Xenopus tropicalis: one gene and its partners. The protein of the gene in region 2 interacts with the protein of the main gene of each other region in a biochemical or structural test. Links are inferred from orthologs where the notes say so. Each region holds a gene or a part of one and is shown on either strand. Other genes may lie near its edges. The genes, in order: khdrbs1, prmt1, ubap2l, fus and habp4.

Region 1 (2,940 bases), on a different chromosome or scaffold from region 2:
TAGAGCAGGTTAAAGGGACACTATCATCAAAACTAAAAAAGTTGAATGTGGCTGAAAACCCATAATGTTGAGCAGACTTAGTTTGAAAAAAGAAAGAAAACATTCTCTTTAATTTAGAAAATTACTTTTTCTGCTTCCAGAGTTTACTGTAATTTGTGACTAACCAATTCCTTGCAGCCACAAAAAGTTCTCTTTTCTTGAGAAGTTTTAACAGTCTTTATGACAAACATCACCATCCATAAAATCAAAACACAGGGAGGCCTGAACACAACAGTGGAATGTAAAAACTATATAAAGGGATATTGAAAAGGTTATTTTAAATGCCTTATATGAAACCCTTGCTTCAAAATGTAACTGCAGGGGAATGTGATGATAGCATCCCTTTACTCGGACACAGCCTATTATTTAATATACAGTTTCTGCAGCTAAATGTTTATACTTTGATTTTAATGTTTATCTTACCTCCCTATTTGTGCATAAGTGAATTAAGACAACATTAACCAAGTTTTGTCCATAAGGTTTAATAACATAAAGTGGATTTTAAGTACAAAGTCAAAAGTTTTTGTTTTAAACAGCATACAATATTACAGCTACAATTTTAACTACTCAAAGTAATGGGATTTTGAAATGCAGCTTAGTTCAGGACAAAGAACCTAAAGCTATAGTTACTTTTGTTTATTTAAAGAAACTTGTTTTGAAGTCACTTTGAAAAACTACCCTTTAATGCAGCTAAATTTTACATGTAAAGCATTTTGTATTTTTTAAAGTTTTTGTTTCTTTAACAACGCAAAGTAAAACGATCTAAATATTAAAAAAAAGTCTGCCTATTTCAGAGTTGCTCCATTTTTTTTTTTAAAATTGTCCTTTCAAAGGAATTTGGGAAAAGGGAGCTATATGAGGGAGGTCACAGAGCACAGAGAATTTACTTGTGTATTGTGGGTTAAGGAACAGGAAGTCCCGAACACAAGACATCGGTAAACATGGTTTGGATGAAAAGATGTTCAAAAGCGCCCATAAGGATGTTCTCTGTATGCACCGCCCTTCAAAGGACGTGAAGAGGGAACCTTAAGTGAAGGTCGTGATCCATTCCAATTATCTTGTCCTTAAAAACAAATACATATACACACAATTAAAAACTACAATAGTAAAAAAAAAAAAAAAAAAAAAGTGCGAAGCACAACAGTAAAAAGTAATATTCCTATAAGTTATTAATAATGGCAGTCACTCCCACCCAAGCCCCCCCCCCCCCCCCCCAAAAAAAAACATTACCAGTTGAACATAATTCCAACTGCAAACATAAAATTCCATTAACACTGCAGGAGCTCTGTCAGTCAATTATTGTGGCATAAACAGCCTTTATGTCATTTCACTCTAAAAGGGCAGATGTTACAGATGTTAAACCCCTCTTACAAGTGCCCAGTAAAGAGAAGAGATTCTTTTAAAAGGATCAAAAAGCTGTCAAGCAAGTTTACACAAATTATCTAGGTTTTTCTTTAAAATGTAATATAAAGAACTTTGCAGTTGTTCATTGTTTTCTACATGGGGGAGCATAAGAAAAAAAAAATTTAAAGACAAAATATCCCTTTTACCATAAGTAGGAAACATAATAGCATATTTTAAAGAGAATGAAGACAGATACAGCCATACAATGGTCAAATACTAAATTCTTCATGTTCTAGAGGTACTACACATCAAGCAAATTACATTTATTTATTTTTTTTAAACTTGATGTTTATTGTTTTTATCATATTTGGTAAACATATAATTGTATTTACATTAAACGTATGCATTTGTCAAATGGAACAAAGATTGATTATAAACATTTGTCTAGTTTGCATATGCTATATCGTTTATATATTTGTGGCCTGGCGGCCTACCTTTTAACTGGGCACGGGTCACATGGCTGTAACACCCTGGGAAATTAAGACTATGGCTAGCCCCATGTGAAGTTTCAAAATTAAATATAAAAAAATCTGTTTTTGAAATACAGATTTCAATGTAGGATTCTGCTGGAGAAGCTCTATGAACTGATGTGTTTTGAAAAACACAGGTTTTCCCATGACAGTATTCCTTTAAGCATAACTGAATGAGCTTATGTCATCTTATTTATCAGTCTAATTAGATAGGGGACCTTATCTATCCACTCCTGGATACTTACCATAACTCTCATACGATTCAGGACCCTCTCCATGACCATAATCATAATATTCAGTCTCTCTGAAAATTTTAGATAAAGAAAATGTACAATTTTAGTACAACAACAACAACAACAACAACCATTTGTAAAGCACTTTTCTCCCGTAGGACCCAAAGCGCATAGCAGAATTTTATAATTTTTACTAAATACACTAAGCTGCATATCTAGACTTTGCACAGATGCTATGATTTCCAAATATTATAATGCTTTAATAGCAATAAAATCATATTTGGGACCAAAAGAACACTAACTGAGGTAAAATGAAACTTACCCTTGGCTTTGACTGTAATATCCCTCATAACCTTCATAGCTTGGCTCTGCATAGGAGTCTTCATAACCCTTAAAAAATGTTTACAATTAGCCTTTAAAGCAAGGGAATTAATAGAGAACTAAGTCTAATACAATGCCTACTATACTACAGGTGACCAGCACAACCTAGGACAGTACTGTCCAACTGGCAGCCCACAGATCCCCTCTGTGGGCGATATCCCTACAGTGAGCACCAACCATTTGGGTTTTTGCTGTGCTACCACATTAATATGGGTATGGTCTTAAAAGTTTGTTATAACATGGTTTGAAGTGGTGCGGTTTAAAAAAAAGGAGAGTGGTCAAAACTGGCTTCCATTATCAGTCCTCTACAATTTAGCCCAGAAAAATTCCAGCCTTTGGTACCACAGAAGTAGGACAGCAGTGACCTAGGAGGTTAACATTTGTAAAGTTATTAGGAGTATTGTTTAACATTC
Region 2 (2,925 bases):
CAGGGACCAGTTTACCTGACTGTTTTGGGAGTGTGGGAGGTAATGGAATAAAGGAAACCTGTGCAAGCATGGAGAAAACATAACCTCAAATTTTTCTTTTGTAAGAAGTTTGCAAACTTCAGTACCTGGATTTCTGCATTACTCACATTATCTGGTTTTCAGCTATATATAGTTATTGATAAGTCTAATTACAGCACCCAGTTACAGTATTTACTGTTTCAAAGTAAACATCTGGCCGCTATGGGTTACTCTACCTGTACATATGTTGTGCCATTTATGAAAAATGAGGCGTAACTTGCTTAAACTAAACATAAATTGTTTATATAGTCTTTGGTTGTGCCATGGCATCTCTATTGGATTGAGATTTGGGCTCTTTGCCATTCCAGAACACAAGTTTTCTTCTGTTGCAAATTCAAAGCATATGTGTGATAAATGCAGACATTCAGGTAATGGTTGGTAATTTACAGTTGCAGGAATACTTTCACTATAGTTTGCTGGCTCTTTAAGACTGTACAGAAGGAAGGAGTATTATAAAATGGCTTCTACTGTGACAGTAGCTGTCAGCATTTTGGCCCACAGCTGGGAAACATGGCATTCTAGAAGTTATTTTTACCATCTGCATTCTGTCTCTAGGTTGTAGAATTAATCTAATCATGAGTGATGTGAATGCAATATGAAATTGAAACATCACAAGGCAGTAATGTGGTTCTTCAGGCACCCATATTGCTTATGTTAGGTGTCTTGTTCCTTGGAGGTCTTGCCTGTATATGGGTGTCTAAGACTTATGCATGCATTTTCTTATTTGAAGGTTTCTTGTACTCAGCCTGAGAGCAGTGTGAAGCCAAATGCGGAGGACATGACATCAAAAGATTACTACTTTGACTCGTATGCTCACTTTGGCATCCATGAGGTAAGTTAACCCCTGCGTAGACTAATATTTTAAAGATAACTGTCCATGAGTTTTTCTGATCCATTTTCTTTCTGCAGGAGATGTTAAAAGATGAAGTTCGAACGCTGACATATCGTAACTCAATGTTTCACAACAGACATCTATTTAAAGATAAAGTAGTCTTGGATGTTGGGAGTGGCACGGGTATTCTCTGCATGTTTGCAGCAAAGGCTGGTGCCAAGAAAGTTATTGGGGTAAGATAAAAACCTCTACCCCATGGGGTTGCGATTTAGAAACGCTGAGTTTTTTTTTTAGGCATGTTCCCTGATGCATCCAGCTCTACTAGCTAGTAGGTGGTATAGAAGTTTGTCCTCTTACATTCCCCTGACTGGTGCTTGGTAGTGTGCACCATATATCTGAATATTTCTTATCATAGTCCCTTTCCTGCAGGTGCTGTGATGCAGTATTTTTAATATAGCGTATATTAGACACTGACACAAGAATTTAAACCCTTCTTTAAAACAGGACATTCTTTGCATGCATTAATAATTTTGCCATAGAAGTGTTTGCCCAGTGCTTTTACATTACACAGCCAATCCCCATTTTCCATTGAGGGGGCTGCCATTTATGCAGCAGTAGGAGTCAGTTGGCATTAGAAGCTATAACTGACAGGTTGAGAAGGGACAGTCAGGTTGGCAAAACACATTTAGGAACATCAAGTACTTAAAAATGATCAGCATTGCCTGTAACTTATGTACATTAATTGAGGAGTAATTTTGTCTGTATCCATTTAAGTTTAGGGGGGGAGGAATGTTGAGGCAGAGAGGGGGTAAGTGGGTTGGATACATACAATTGTATTTGTTTAAATCTTCTCAACTAACACTACATTCTTTTTCACTTAGATTGAGTGCTCAAGTATATCTGACTATGCCATAAAAATCGTGAAGGCAAATAAACTAGATCATGGTAGGTAACAACACGGTTGTCTTAAGTGCATTACTGTTTCCATCTAGACTGCATTCTAACCACTTATTATTCTCCTTTAGTGGTTACAATCATCAAAGGCAAAGTAGAAGAGGTGGAGCTCCCAGTAGAAAAAGTGGACATCATAATCAGTGAATGGATGGGATATTGTCTGTTCTATGAATCAATGCTGAACACTGTTATCTATGCACGGGATAAATGGCTGGTAAGTTCGCAAGAAGTGTCAAGAACGAGTATCTTGTATTTAAAAATGTAAACAGTTTGTTGGATTTGATTGTGCCAATGGTGCTAAGGCTCTCTGCATTGTTGTACCTAATACAACAATGCTAATGACATTACATCAGCTATTACTGGGTTTACACCAGTGATAGCTGGATGTAATGTAACCTTGTATATACACTTGCTAAGGAAATGTATACTTTAGTTGAAATGCCAGAAGTTTTTTTTTTAATGCCATGTGCTTCTATGTACTTGCATATCTTTCAGACTCCAGATGGGTTAATATTTCCAGATCGTGCTACACTGTATGTAACTGCTATTGAGGATAGACAATACAAAGACTACAAAATTCACTGTAAGTCTTATTTGCTGCTTTGGTGCCAGTTTTGAGTTAAAGCAAATCCATGCATGTGAAAGCCCAGTGGCATCTCTTCCTATATGTGTGTTTAATATACCAGATTTCAGTGTGACTGGTGTAAGTGCCGATGTGTTGCATGGTACAAATTTCCATCATTCCCAGCTATAATAAGTATTGGCACTGTTATGGAGATGAATGGAAATGCAGCTGGGCAGACTTAGATTATGTATTCCTTAAATATATAACTGCACTGGTCAAAGTTCTGCCTAACCACTTCATTTCTATGGTTAAAGCCCATTTTTATATTTAGACTTTTTTAGTCAGTTCAAAGTTAGTTCTTGCTATGCATTAATGTATGGCCTTCTACTGTGCCCCCAAAACTTTGTAACTTGTTTAAAACCAGTCCAGAACTGCTTTGAAAAGGGGTTTAACTGCCTCAACACAATTTGTCATGTACTTTGCTTCCACAGTAAAA
Region 3 (3,520 bases), on a different chromosome or scaffold from region 2:
CTATCCCACAGCCCCAGTCCCTTCCCAGAGGCTATTATCCCCCCCCTGCTACTATAGGCACCATCTCTCCCTACTATACCTGCTATCCCACAGCCCCAGTCCTTCCAGAGGCTATTATCCCCCCACTGCTACTATAGGCACCATCTCTCCCTACTATACCTGCTATCCCACAGCCCCAGTCCCTTCCCAGAGGCTATTATCCCCCCACTGCTACTATAGGCACCATCTCTCCCTACTATACCTGCTATCCCACAGCCCCAGTCCCTTCCCAGAGGTTATTATCCCCCCACTTGCTACTATAGGCACCATCTCTCCCTACTATACCTGCTATCCCACAGCCCCAGTCCCTTCCCAGAGGCTATTATCCCCCCACTGCTACTATAGGCACCATCTCTCCCTACTATACCTGCTATCCCACAGCCCCAGTCCCTTCCCAGAGGCTATTATCCCCCCACTGCTACTATAGGCACCATCTCTCCCTACTATACCTGCTATCCCACAGCACCAGTCCCTTCCCAGAGGCTATTATCCCCCCACTGCTACTATAGGCACCATCTCTCCCTACTATACCTGCTATCCCACAGCCCCAGTCCCTTCCCAGAGGCTATTATCCCCCCACTGCTACTATAGGCACCATCTCTCCCTACTATACCTGCTATCCCACAGCCCCAGTCCCTTCCCAGAGGCTATTATCCCACTGCTGCATGCCAGTAGACCCTTTTTGGTTGTTTCAGTAGCCATAAAGGGGGGACAGTGCATGCAAGAGTAATGTAGTTCCCAGCATGGAGTGATTCTCGGTTCATATGGCCAGATTCTCCTGCAGCGAGCCAACATTTCCACATCCATTGCTGTTGTTGGGGCTCTAACATATTATGATTAATAGTTCCATCCCCAGAACAAGGGTGTATTATAGTGTATGTTTTGTGTGTGGCTTCAGATATGAAGAGTCCATCTGACCCGTTCAGCAAGCGTCAAAGCTTTCCCCAGGCCTCCACCATGATGGAAGTGTATCTGCAGGAGAAGACGCCTGTGGTCAGCACTTCGTCTGCTGTGCCAGTGTGTCCATCTTCCCCTCTCCATGGCAAGAGCAACACTGCCCCCCAGATGTCCCCGGTGTCCTCAGAGAACCAGTCTAGTAGCCCTCAGCCGGCTCAGCAGAAGATGAAGCAGCAGAAAAAGAAAGCCTCTCTAACATCCAAGGTATTCAAGCAGCTCAGGCTTATGGCTTAGTCTGGGGCCCCGGGCTTAGTCTGGGGCCCCGGGCTTAGTCTGGGGCCCCGGGCTTAGTCTGGGGCCCCGGGCTTAGTCTGGGGCCCCGGGCTTAGTCTGGGGCCCCGGGCTTAGTCTGGGGCCCCGGGCTTAGTCTGGGGCCCCGGGCTTAGTCTGGGGCCCCGGGCTTAGTCTGGGGCCCCGGGCTTAGTCTGGGGCCCCGGGCTTAGTCTCGGGCCCCGGGCTTAGTCTCGGGCCCCGGGCTTAGTCTCGGGCCCCGGGCTTAGTCTCGGGCCCCGGGCTTAGTCTCGGGCCCCGGGCTTAGTCTCGGGCCCCGGGCTTAGTCTCGGGCCCCGGGCTTAGTCTCGGGCCCCGGGCTTAGTCTCGGGCCCCGGGCTTAGTCTCGGGCCCCGGGCTTAGTCTCGGGCCCCGGGCTTAGTCTCGGGCCCCGGGCTTAGTCTCGGGCCCCGGGCTTAGTCTCGGGCCCCGGGCTTAGTCTCGGGCCCCGGGCTTAGTCTCGGGCCCCGGGCTTAGTCTCTGGTTTCAATGCTTACAGATACCTGCTCTGGCAGTGGAAATGCCCGGCTCTTCTGACATCTCTGGGCTAAACCTGCAATTCGGGGCCTTGCTGTTTGGATCTGAGCCTGTCCTCCCTGAGTACGAGTCTTCACCCACCACCAACGTGGCTGTGAGCCAGTCCCAAAACAGCCTCTATACCAGCCCCGTAAGGTAAGTTGGCCGCTCCATTTCTATTTAGTCACTATTAAGGATGGGAAGGGGGGGGGGCCCCAATGGATTCCATGACAGTAGACCCTTTCTGGCTGTATCAGTAGTCACTAAGGGGGGACAGTTTCATGGCACAGGAATGAGGTGCTGACAGGGGACCCATCAGAAATACCTGGTGGTTCATCTTGAATCTGCACCCACATAGCCCCAACTGCTCTATAGGTACAGCCATTAACTCTTCCCCTCCCTTCACAGTGAATCGCCCAACACCATCGCAGCCAATCAGAGCCCAGAGTCTGCCTATCAGGGCAGCAGCAGCATACAGTCAGCAACGTTTACACCTCAGAGCAGCACCCAAGGCCCAGTGTACGAACAGAGGGCCACACAGACCCGGCGGTACCCCAACCCCATCTCCTCCTCTTCCTCATCCTCCCCACAGAAAGACCTCAGCCAATCCAAGGTGAGTAGTGTGGCTTGTCGATTTTTAGGGGCTCAGTATCCAGAGGTGGTCTTTCCCTTTATTTCTGTTAATGTGGCATACACTGGGTGGTCCGGCCGGTATCTGTAGGCTTTTAGGGTCTGATTGTGCCTGCTCCCAGCTGTTGTAGTTGTTCAGGATATCGGTACCCCCACTCACTGTTCTATCTCCCCCCATTGTGTCTCTGCAGAATGGCTTCAGTTCAGTGCAGGCTCCGACGTTGCAAGCCCCGGTGTCAGTCGAGGGTAAGTAGAATGTCCTATTCCTAGCAACTTTGAAAATGTTTATTTTAAGTTTTTGCCTTTTTCTACGTCCTTCCAGCTTTCAAATGGGGGTCACCGACCCCGGCAGCCAAAAACTATTGCTGTGTGAGCGTAAAAAGATATTATTGTTACTTTCTATTTATTATCTTTATATTCAGTCTCTCGATCAATCTACTGCCTGGTTGCTAAGGTAAACAAGACCCTAGCAACCAGATAGCTGGTGAAATGTCAAACTAGAGAGCTTGCTGAACTGAAAAAGAACAATGCAAACCAATTACATTATACTAAAAGATAGTGTTGCTGTTGTGCTTATACAGTGCAACTGGTCACACAGTTATATAGTGTGTTGGTGGCAGTGCACGCTAGTAGACCCTTTCTGACTTTCCGTAGCCATAAAGGGGGGACAACGCGTGCTAAACAAATATGGCCCCTGGCTAAGTAATCTGTCAGCGCCTTTGGCGGAGGATTTTGCTGGGTGCCGACAGCTTTCCTGCATTGGGAATCTGTATTTACAGCACATTTAGGCTCCTTGCTTTCAGGCAGAGCGACTTCATGCTTCTCATTTCATCATCTCTTCCAGTTCCCTCTGTGCCCAGTGTGAAGGCAGATTCACCCTCTGCTCCCACCATTGTTCCCCTCAGCGACCCGGTGTCTACATCGTCCCTGCTCACCGGCGCCGGAGCCCATTCCTCACAGCTCAGTAGCCTCGCTCACTCTGAGGATCTGCAAAGTGCCCCCACGCCTCTCAGGTATGTGGCACTGCCATACTCTGGGGGGGGGGGGGGGTCACGCGTCCCAGCATTCTTAGCTATCTGTTTGCTGTGGCTGCTGGGAGTTTCTATGT
Region 4 (3,520 bases), on a different chromosome or scaffold from region 2:
GTTCATATTCTCACAACTCCTGCGAAGAGACGAACAATTTAGCCACAGGTACATACACACAATGCAATAAATAAAAAAAAAATTATACTGATATAACTAAACTTACGGGTTGGGGCACTTCCAGTCTCCAGCTCGTTGCTGGCCTCCACCACCACTTGGGTATCCACCACTACCACCCCGACTGCCACTTCCTCCAGGGGGCCCACCAAAGCCTCCACGTCCCATTGGTCCTATTTGCAGGTTAAAACAAAAGAAAACTCCATTGAGACAAAATGCTAAAATCTGAATATTACTGTCAGAGCTGCTGCAGTTACAAATACCTGCCAATAGGTGGAGTCAGTCATACAGAGTTGGAACATATGACTGAATCATCATGTATGTAACACTTTATAAAATACCTGCAGTATTCAGTTATCCCTTTTTTACACACAAGCTGTGTCAATTCATTGACATTTTATTACTGATTACTGGCTGAATCTCAAGAGATTACACATTTTATTCTAGTTGAGAGCAGAGTATAATAAAGGGGTGGGCAAACTACAGCCTGCAGGCCACGTCTGGCCCCTTGGTCCGTTTAATCCGGCCGCTGACTCCGCAACTCTCATCACGTAAGACTTGGGTGTCTGGGGACTGACAAGCGGAAACAGCGTTACCCTGGCCCTACTCGGCGGTAAGTCAACGTGGCCTGAGCCAAAAAGTTTGCCCACCCCTGGTATAATACGTGCAACAAAATCCAGTATTTCTCTGCAAATGCCGACTGGATAATTGAAGAAAACAGATTTTAAACTAAATGCTCAGAGTTGTAAATAAAAGGCAATTAAAAACTCACCGCCACCACGTCCTCTGCCTCTTCCATTGCCGCCACCTCGACTATTAAAATCTGCTCTTCTTGTGGCAAAAGACACTTTTATCGGATTGCCGGAGAACTCTTTGCCTACAGATAAATGGAATATTTCATTCATTATCTATATAATTCCCATAACCTTTATAACATGCTCATATCAGGCACTTCGTTCTGCTTGCCTGGTTCACCGAATAACTTAACATACACAAACCTATGTCAAGCTGAGCAGCCATGGGTTTACATTTAAAAGTAAGTCAGAATTTAGATATTTTTGGAAGAAAAAAAAAGAAAACTCACCATCAAACCAATCGATAGCAGCCTTGGCAGATGGTGGGTCATCAAAGGAAACTGTGGCTTCTCCTTTCAGTTTGCCAGTTTCACGGTCTGTGTAAAGGTTAATCATAGGCTGCCCAGTCTTCTTGTTAGTCTAGTGAGAGAAAATTTATAATGTAACTAAAATGTTTCAGCAATACTGGACAGATGCAAACAGTCTAACCTCTAAGGCAGTGATCCCCAACCAGTGGCAGGAGAGCTACATGTTGCTACCTGCCCCTTTGATGGGGGAAGCAGGTGCCATTTTGACATTTCTGGCTTGGAGGCAAGTTTTGGAAGCCCAGAGACCGTTTTACCCCAAGCAGAGACTACAGTTCACATGAGGTTACCAAATAGCCAATCAGAGTCCTTATTTGGTACCCCAAAGAACTTTATTCATGCTTGTGTGGCCCTCAAGTAAAGGCTGGAGATTCCTGCTCTAAGGTCGTAAAATTGGCTTAGTGAATGTTCGCATTGTTTGTTGCACATAAATAAACCTATAGTTATCAAGCTTTACAATTGATCATACATTTACTCAAACCCACCAAAAACTTGTAAAAGCCATCAGTTGTGCTACAGCCCCATGTATCATAAAACCCCTTAACATACTATTGTCACAAGTTTGCCCATACATGCACAATACTGCTATACATGAGGGAGCTGACCTTCCACCAGTTCTATTGGTAGCAGAAACACACTAATGTATATCATTTACTCAAACCACATAAAACTGATGACAATATCTATGTGAAAGGCCCCATTGTGACCTCTGCTGGTAGGTTTGCAGTTACCCATTTGATTGAGCTCAGACACAATACCCATTGCCTTTCACAATAAACCTGACCCAGTTGTTGGTTAACACCACATGGGATTCGAAACCCACAGCATTAATAGTTGACAGAAATAAAGTCACTTCTAAATAACTTGCAAAATGTATGTTAAAGTGTCAAGGTCACCCTTACCTTAATGATTCCAATTTGTTTGAAGTAGTCAGCAACTGACTCAACTGTAACATTCTCTCCAAGTCCTTGCACGAAGATTGTGTTGTTGTCAGAGTTGTCTTGTTCGGCTTTAAAGAAATAATACATTTGTTAATTAAAATTCAAAGTTGCACTGTTGTCACAAACACTTTCCAAAACACTAAAAAAAAAAAAAAAACAATTATCAGATACTGACCCATTTCATGTCTGGGGGGTCCGCCGCCTTCACGTGGTCCTTGAGAAAAGCAGAGACAAAAGCCATTTTAGAAAAGTGATTTTCCATTGTGGGAAGTCCAGCAAAACCTAAAGCCCACACCCAAACATTCACAAAACACCCATATGAACCAGTCGGTTAAACATTAAGACGTTAAAATCCCAAATCTGAATGACGCCGAGAATTATGGTCTTAGAACACATTCGAGGGTAACAGAAAGCCCATGTTATATGTAGGCAGAGCGGTATTGTGTAAACCTTGTAGCCTAACACCACACAAGCAATAGAAGTGAACCACTGCAAGCATATTAATGATACCATAATAATGTGTATTGTGAATGCTCATTCCTAGTTCCGTTACCTCCCCTGCTTGCACAATTCCCTTTGTTGCATTGGTGACTTTTTCCCGGTCAGTTTGCACGATGTAAAGATTTGCACACACTTCATTGCAGAATATAAACGGTTACATTCCCTGCATGCTAGCCAGTGAAGGTATCACATACACCATTATATGTACAAGGCACCTCTGCACCATAACCTTTTGATTATTTTTTTTTTTAAAGTCACACCGTAAGTCTCCTACATGGTTACACCTCATCGACTTATAGTATAATATCTATTTACCAAGTATAAAAATATATTTACCAAGAACCCAACCGTAACATTGTTTGTAAAGTCCCAGTTTGCATGCATATACCACATCTGTGCCCTTATTAAATGCATTCTCTGCATTGGTCTCAGTGCACACACCGTAACATTTGCTTTTTTTCTGATGTCTGATGTAACCGTTTAATTGCACTGACGCAAAAAGTTACATACACCGGAATGTTTTAGAAGCCCACTACTTCACAATGGAGTATTCCAGTTATACACCCAGTGCTATATGAATGACTTTAAATGGAAAACAGTACAGGAGTTGGGTTTGAGATTTTGAACTCTTCACTTACCACCAAATTTACTGAATCCTCCCCGTTCACCACCGCTGAGAAGACAATTAGGAGAAATTGAAGTTTTTGTTTGTGTTTCCCGAGGCTACAGTAGTTTTCTGATTCAGCAACACACCGTGTCTAGGCGTGCCAGCACTCTGCACAACTAACACACTTGCTTCTTTACGTAAGTTCCACTGCTAAAGCGTTTGTGCTACATGACGCCTTCTTTGATTCTATGCCAT
Region 5 (3,520 bases), on a different chromosome or scaffold from region 2:
TATCAATGCTAGATTGTAAGCTCTTTTGGGCAGGGCCCTCTTCACCTCTTGTATCGGTTACTGATTGCTTTATATGTTACTCTGTATGTCCAATGTATGTAACCCACATATTGTACAGCGCTGCGGAATATGTTGCCGCTTTATAAATAAATGTTAATGTAATGTAATCTGGTGAGTGTGCATTTTTACCACATTTGGTGGAGGCACACGCTTTGCTCACTTGATTGTTTTGTCATTTTGCACACTGGTTGTGTATTGTACGAATTAACACTATTTTACTTTTTTTTTTTTTTCTAATGCGCTTCCATCATTCTCCTGGAACACATTTTGAGGCCTACTCAAAGGGGGCTTTTTTGAGGAAGCAGCAATCAAGATTCACACACACACAAGAAGGTTTTTTTTTTTACACTTTAACGCCGAGTTTTTGATTTGTTTTTTGCTATTTGATCTTTATGTAAATGCTTTTGTAATTCCCTGTGGACAGTTATAACAGTTGCTTGTCTTAACATGTGCCTAGCAGTTTCTATATTACGTTGAAACCAGCAACTGCAGAGATTATTTCTTGGATAACTGTTGGTCTATTTACATTACACTTCAAATGGGATTCTTGTTTTTCTAGACTAATTGTGCCTTCATAAATACTCAGTGGGAGAGGATACTTGTTCCTAACACATTTGTAAATCTCCCAATATATACTATAGCGTTGCACACTTTGCCAAACAACCCACTCTCTGTGCTTATTTTTAAGTAATATCAATATGTTCGTATAAAAATAGTTAGGAACACGTCAGTATTAGTAGGAACTCTGTACATGGACTTCACGTATAAGATTACAAAACTGCTGGTACCATTGGGCTAGGGGATAGAGTTGGAACCAGCACCACTACTACATCCTTTAGACACAGCTTTAGGTGCCTGGGAGTGGAAAACCTGTTGTCAGTCACGCCAGGCTAGGGACAGGAGGATTGCTCTGTATCTAGCCCAGTGTGACTAACACAATGGCACCTAAAGCTTTGTCTGCTGCATTAAGTACTACTTGCCTGGGGACACTTTTTTCTACACGAATCCATGCACGAACATTTTTTATTTGAAGAAACTCTTGCAGATGAATTGTAATGATTCGAGAATATTAATGACAGGATAGATGCAATGTTCCAGCAACAGGAAGCTTTACATTGAATTTTATTGCAGGAGAGTTCATGTCTCGCTTGTTTGTCATATTTAGTGTGAGTTTTTGCGTTTTAATTACTGAAGAAAATGGGGGGAAAACTCTCCTATGCATCTGTCCCTCTTAATGTTCTCTGTTCATTCAAAACCAACAAATTATCTCTAGTAGAATAAGACCAGAAGACAAGAGGGGTGGAGGTGGACCTCGCAACTGGGGCTCTATAAAAGAAGCTTTCAGGTATGACCCAGGTATCCTTAAGACTAATGCATTATTAAAATACAGATGTGACAAAAGATGGAGTAGGTGGTCCATGTTACCTAGATACCAGGGAAATAAAAGTTTAACAACCAGATAATTGGAGTTTTCTAGTTGATCAAAACCCACATGTCTAAACAAACTCCACTGATCTAAACAAACTATATGATATAGTACAATAAGTGCTTGACAGAACTGATATGGGTAAGGAAGCCGTGATATATTCTAGAAATTGCAGATGTAAAAGGAACTTGAGGTGGCCATATCTGTTAAGATCTGCTTGTTTGGCAGGGCACAAAACAAGAGGATCTTTACTCCTGATATGCCCACCTAAGGTGGGCTATATGGGGCTTTTTCAACTGTTTGGCCCTAGGGCCAACAAATTACAATGATGGGTATAAGCCTTCAGACCGAGATTCCTACTTTAATTGATAAAGGTGTGTAGCATTAATTTTTAAAAGGCTAGATATGATCAGCATTTTAAAGGATATTTTGGTTTTTGCATTTTGTTGCAGTAGGTGAACTCAAACTCTTACCCATCCAATGTAGTCTGAATACATGTGACTGTTGTAATATTGCTATTTTTTGGGTATAGATATTTTGCATTCAACAATTAGTTAGTCTGGCTGTTTAACAGATCGCTAGCTAAAGAAACAAATACACTTGTATTTTTTAAGTGAGATTGAGGCGGTTCCAGTAGAAGAGCAAGTTGAGCCTACTGAAACAACAGAAGCAACAGAGGAAGAACATGGCAAGTAAGTTTTGTTACACAAAGAACATCTTGCATTCACTTCCTGAACTACTTTTCCTAATCTGATTCCAGGAAATAAATAGCATGGGAACAATAGATTGGTAGGAGCTGAAGAGCCATATATGACTAAGGCAACGGCACATGTGGCTTATGGCTAACTGGACAACTTGTGCTTATGGCACAAATTAAATGTTTTGGCCAATAGTTGTTTGTTTTTTTTTTTTTTTTTTTTCTTTCCAAACAATTCCTTTTAACTGTAAAGGGAAGCAGTCGGATATTGTAAAAAAAAAAAAAAAACCTTAACGACAAAAAGAATTCGGGGAGATTACTTGCCCACCATAAATCTTCGTTACCACAGGCGACTAATCTCCCCGCAATGTCATCCCACTGGCACCGGATATCACTGGTGGGATGGCATATGCCTTGCTTTGGTTTCCCAAAGTTGCCTCACAAGGAAACTTGGGAAAACCTGAAGCGATGCATATGCCATCCCACAGGTGATTTACATTCTTCCGATGCTGCCGGTGGGATGACATTGTGGGGAGATTAGTCGCCTGTGGTAATGAAGATTTATGGTGGGCGACTAATCTCCCCGTGTGCCTCTGCCCTTAGAGCATATATGTCAAACACAAGGCCGGGGGCCAAATCCAGCCCACCTGGCTGTTTTATGTGGCCTTTGGTGAGTGTGTCTGACAATCCAGCCTGATCAATTTCCATTTTCCTCACATTGTAACTAAGACTAAGGGGTATATTTATCATGCTGTTTAAAAAGTGGAGTGAAGCATTACCAGTAATGTTGCCCAAGGCGTCCAATCAGTAATCTGATTTCAACAGTAGCAAAGCATCTATTGGCTGCTATGAGCAACATCACCGGTAATGTCTTACTCCACTTTTTACAGATTGTGATAAATATACCCCTTAGTACCTTACTAAGTATATTAATGAAAAATTTGGCCCGCGACTTAGCCTGTGTTTTTAGATTTTGCCCCCTTATGTGATTTAAGTTTGACAACCCTGCCTTAGAGTATGGAGAATTATTAAACATGAGTGTCTGTCTTTGTAGAGTTCCTGAAGAAATAAATGAAGGATTTTCTCAAGAAATGTCCCTTGATGAATGGAAGTCTCTCCAGGATCAGAACAGGGCTAAGACGGAATTTAACTTGCGTAAACCAGAAACCTCTGTGCCTTCCAAAGCTGTGGTAATCCATAAATCTAAATATAAAAATGTAAGTATTTGATTTTTTTTTTTCCCCTCCGTGATGAGCACACAGCACAATAATCATAATCTATACACTGAGGGCCTGTGCCCATGTGGTAAGCACAGATGTTGCACTTCAAGCAGTAAT

Evidence for each region.
Region 1: of the proteins of prmt1 (region 2) and khdrbs1, one has a biochemical effect on the other in vitro, tested with the Homo sapiens proteins (2 studies listed by BioGRID). The link is inferred for Xenopus tropicalis from reciprocal best matches to the Homo sapiens genes PRMT1 and KHDRBS1.
Region 3: of the proteins of prmt1 (region 2) and ubap2l, one has a biochemical effect on the other in vitro, tested with the Homo sapiens proteins (2 studies listed by BioGRID, with this or other methods). The link is inferred for Xenopus tropicalis from reciprocal best matches to the Homo sapiens genes PRMT1 and UBAP2L.
Region 4: of the proteins of prmt1 (region 2) and fus, one has a biochemical effect on the other in vitro, tested with the Homo sapiens proteins (3 studies listed by BioGRID). The link is inferred for Xenopus tropicalis from reciprocal best matches to the Homo sapiens genes PRMT1 and FUS.
Region 5: the proteins of prmt1 (region 2) and habp4 form a complex in vitro, tested with the Homo sapiens proteins (2 studies listed by BioGRID, with this or other methods). The link is inferred for Xenopus tropicalis from reciprocal best matches to the Homo sapiens genes PRMT1 and HABP4.

The regions. Positions count from the first base shown.
Region 1 is NC_030678.2:86,528,306-86,531,245, reverse strand, and holds the end of khdrbs1 (KH domain-containing, RNA-binding, signal transduction-associated protein 1), read right to left. Parts: intron 2,537-2,940; coding exon 2,469-2,536; intron 2,218-2,468; coding exon 2,159-2,217; intron 1,103-2,158; coding exon 1,002-1,102; 3' UTR 510-1,001; downstream 1-509. UniProt on the Homo sapiens protein: Recruited and tyrosine phosphorylated by several receptor systems, for example the T-cell, leptin and insulin receptors. Once phosphorylated, functions as an adapter protein in signal transduction cascades by binding to SH2 and SH3 domain-containing proteins.
Region 2 is NC_030683.2:111,009,017-111,011,941, forward strand, and holds part of prmt1 (protein arginine N-methyltransferase 1), read left to right. Parts: intron 1-808; coding exon 809-910; intron 911-987; coding exon 988-1,143; intron 1,144-1,791; coding exon 1,792-1,855; intron 1,856-1,935; coding exon 1,936-2,078; intron 2,079-2,359; coding exon 2,360-2,447; intron 2,448-2,925. UniProt on the Homo sapiens protein: Arginine methyltransferase that methylates (mono and asymmetric dimethylation) the guanidino nitrogens of arginyl residues present in proteins such as ESR1, histone H2, H3 and H4, FMR1, ILF3, HNRNPA1, HNRNPD, NFATC2IP, SUPT5H, TAF15, EWS, HABP4, SERBP1, RBM15, FOXO1, CHTOP, MAP3K5/ASK1, MICU1 and NPRL2.
Region 3 is NC_030684.2:143,447,720-143,451,239, reverse strand, and holds part of ubap2l (ubiquitin-associated protein 2-like), read left to right. Parts: intron 1-937; coding exon 938-1,200; intron 1,201-1,765; coding exon 1,766-1,938; intron 1,939-2,190; coding exon 2,191-2,395; intron 2,396-2,603; coding exon 2,604-2,658; intron 2,659-3,256; coding exon 3,257-3,425; intron 3,426-3,520. UniProt on the Homo sapiens protein: Recruits the ubiquitination machinery to RNA polymerase II for polyubiquitination, removal and degradation, when the transcription-coupled nucleotide excision repair (TC-NER) machinery fails to resolve DNA damage.
Region 4 is NC_030685.2:6,027,078-6,030,597, forward strand, and holds part of fus (RNA-binding protein FUS), read right to left. Parts: intron 3,332-3,520; coding exon 3,297-3,331; intron 2,372-3,296; coding exon 2,333-2,371; intron 2,226-2,332; coding exon 2,119-2,225; intron 1,272-2,118; coding exon 1,142-1,271; intron 935-1,141; coding exon 830-934; intron 231-829; coding exon 107-230; intron 20-106; coding exon 1-19. UniProt on the Homo sapiens protein: DNA/RNA-binding protein that plays a role in various cellular processes such as transcription regulation, RNA splicing, RNA transport, DNA repair and damage response. Binds to ssRNA containing the consensus sequence 5'-AGGUAA-3'.
Region 5 is NC_030677.2:136,242,903-136,246,422, forward strand, and holds part of habp4 (intracellular hyaluronan-binding protein 4), read left to right. Parts: intron 1-1,333; coding exon of another isoform or gene 1,334-1,405; intron 1,406-2,100; coding exon 2,101-2,178; intron 2,179-3,237; coding exon 3,238-3,400; intron 3,401-3,520. UniProt on the Homo sapiens protein: Ribosome-binding protein that promotes ribosome hibernation, a process during which ribosomes are stabilized in an inactive state and preserved from proteasomal degradation.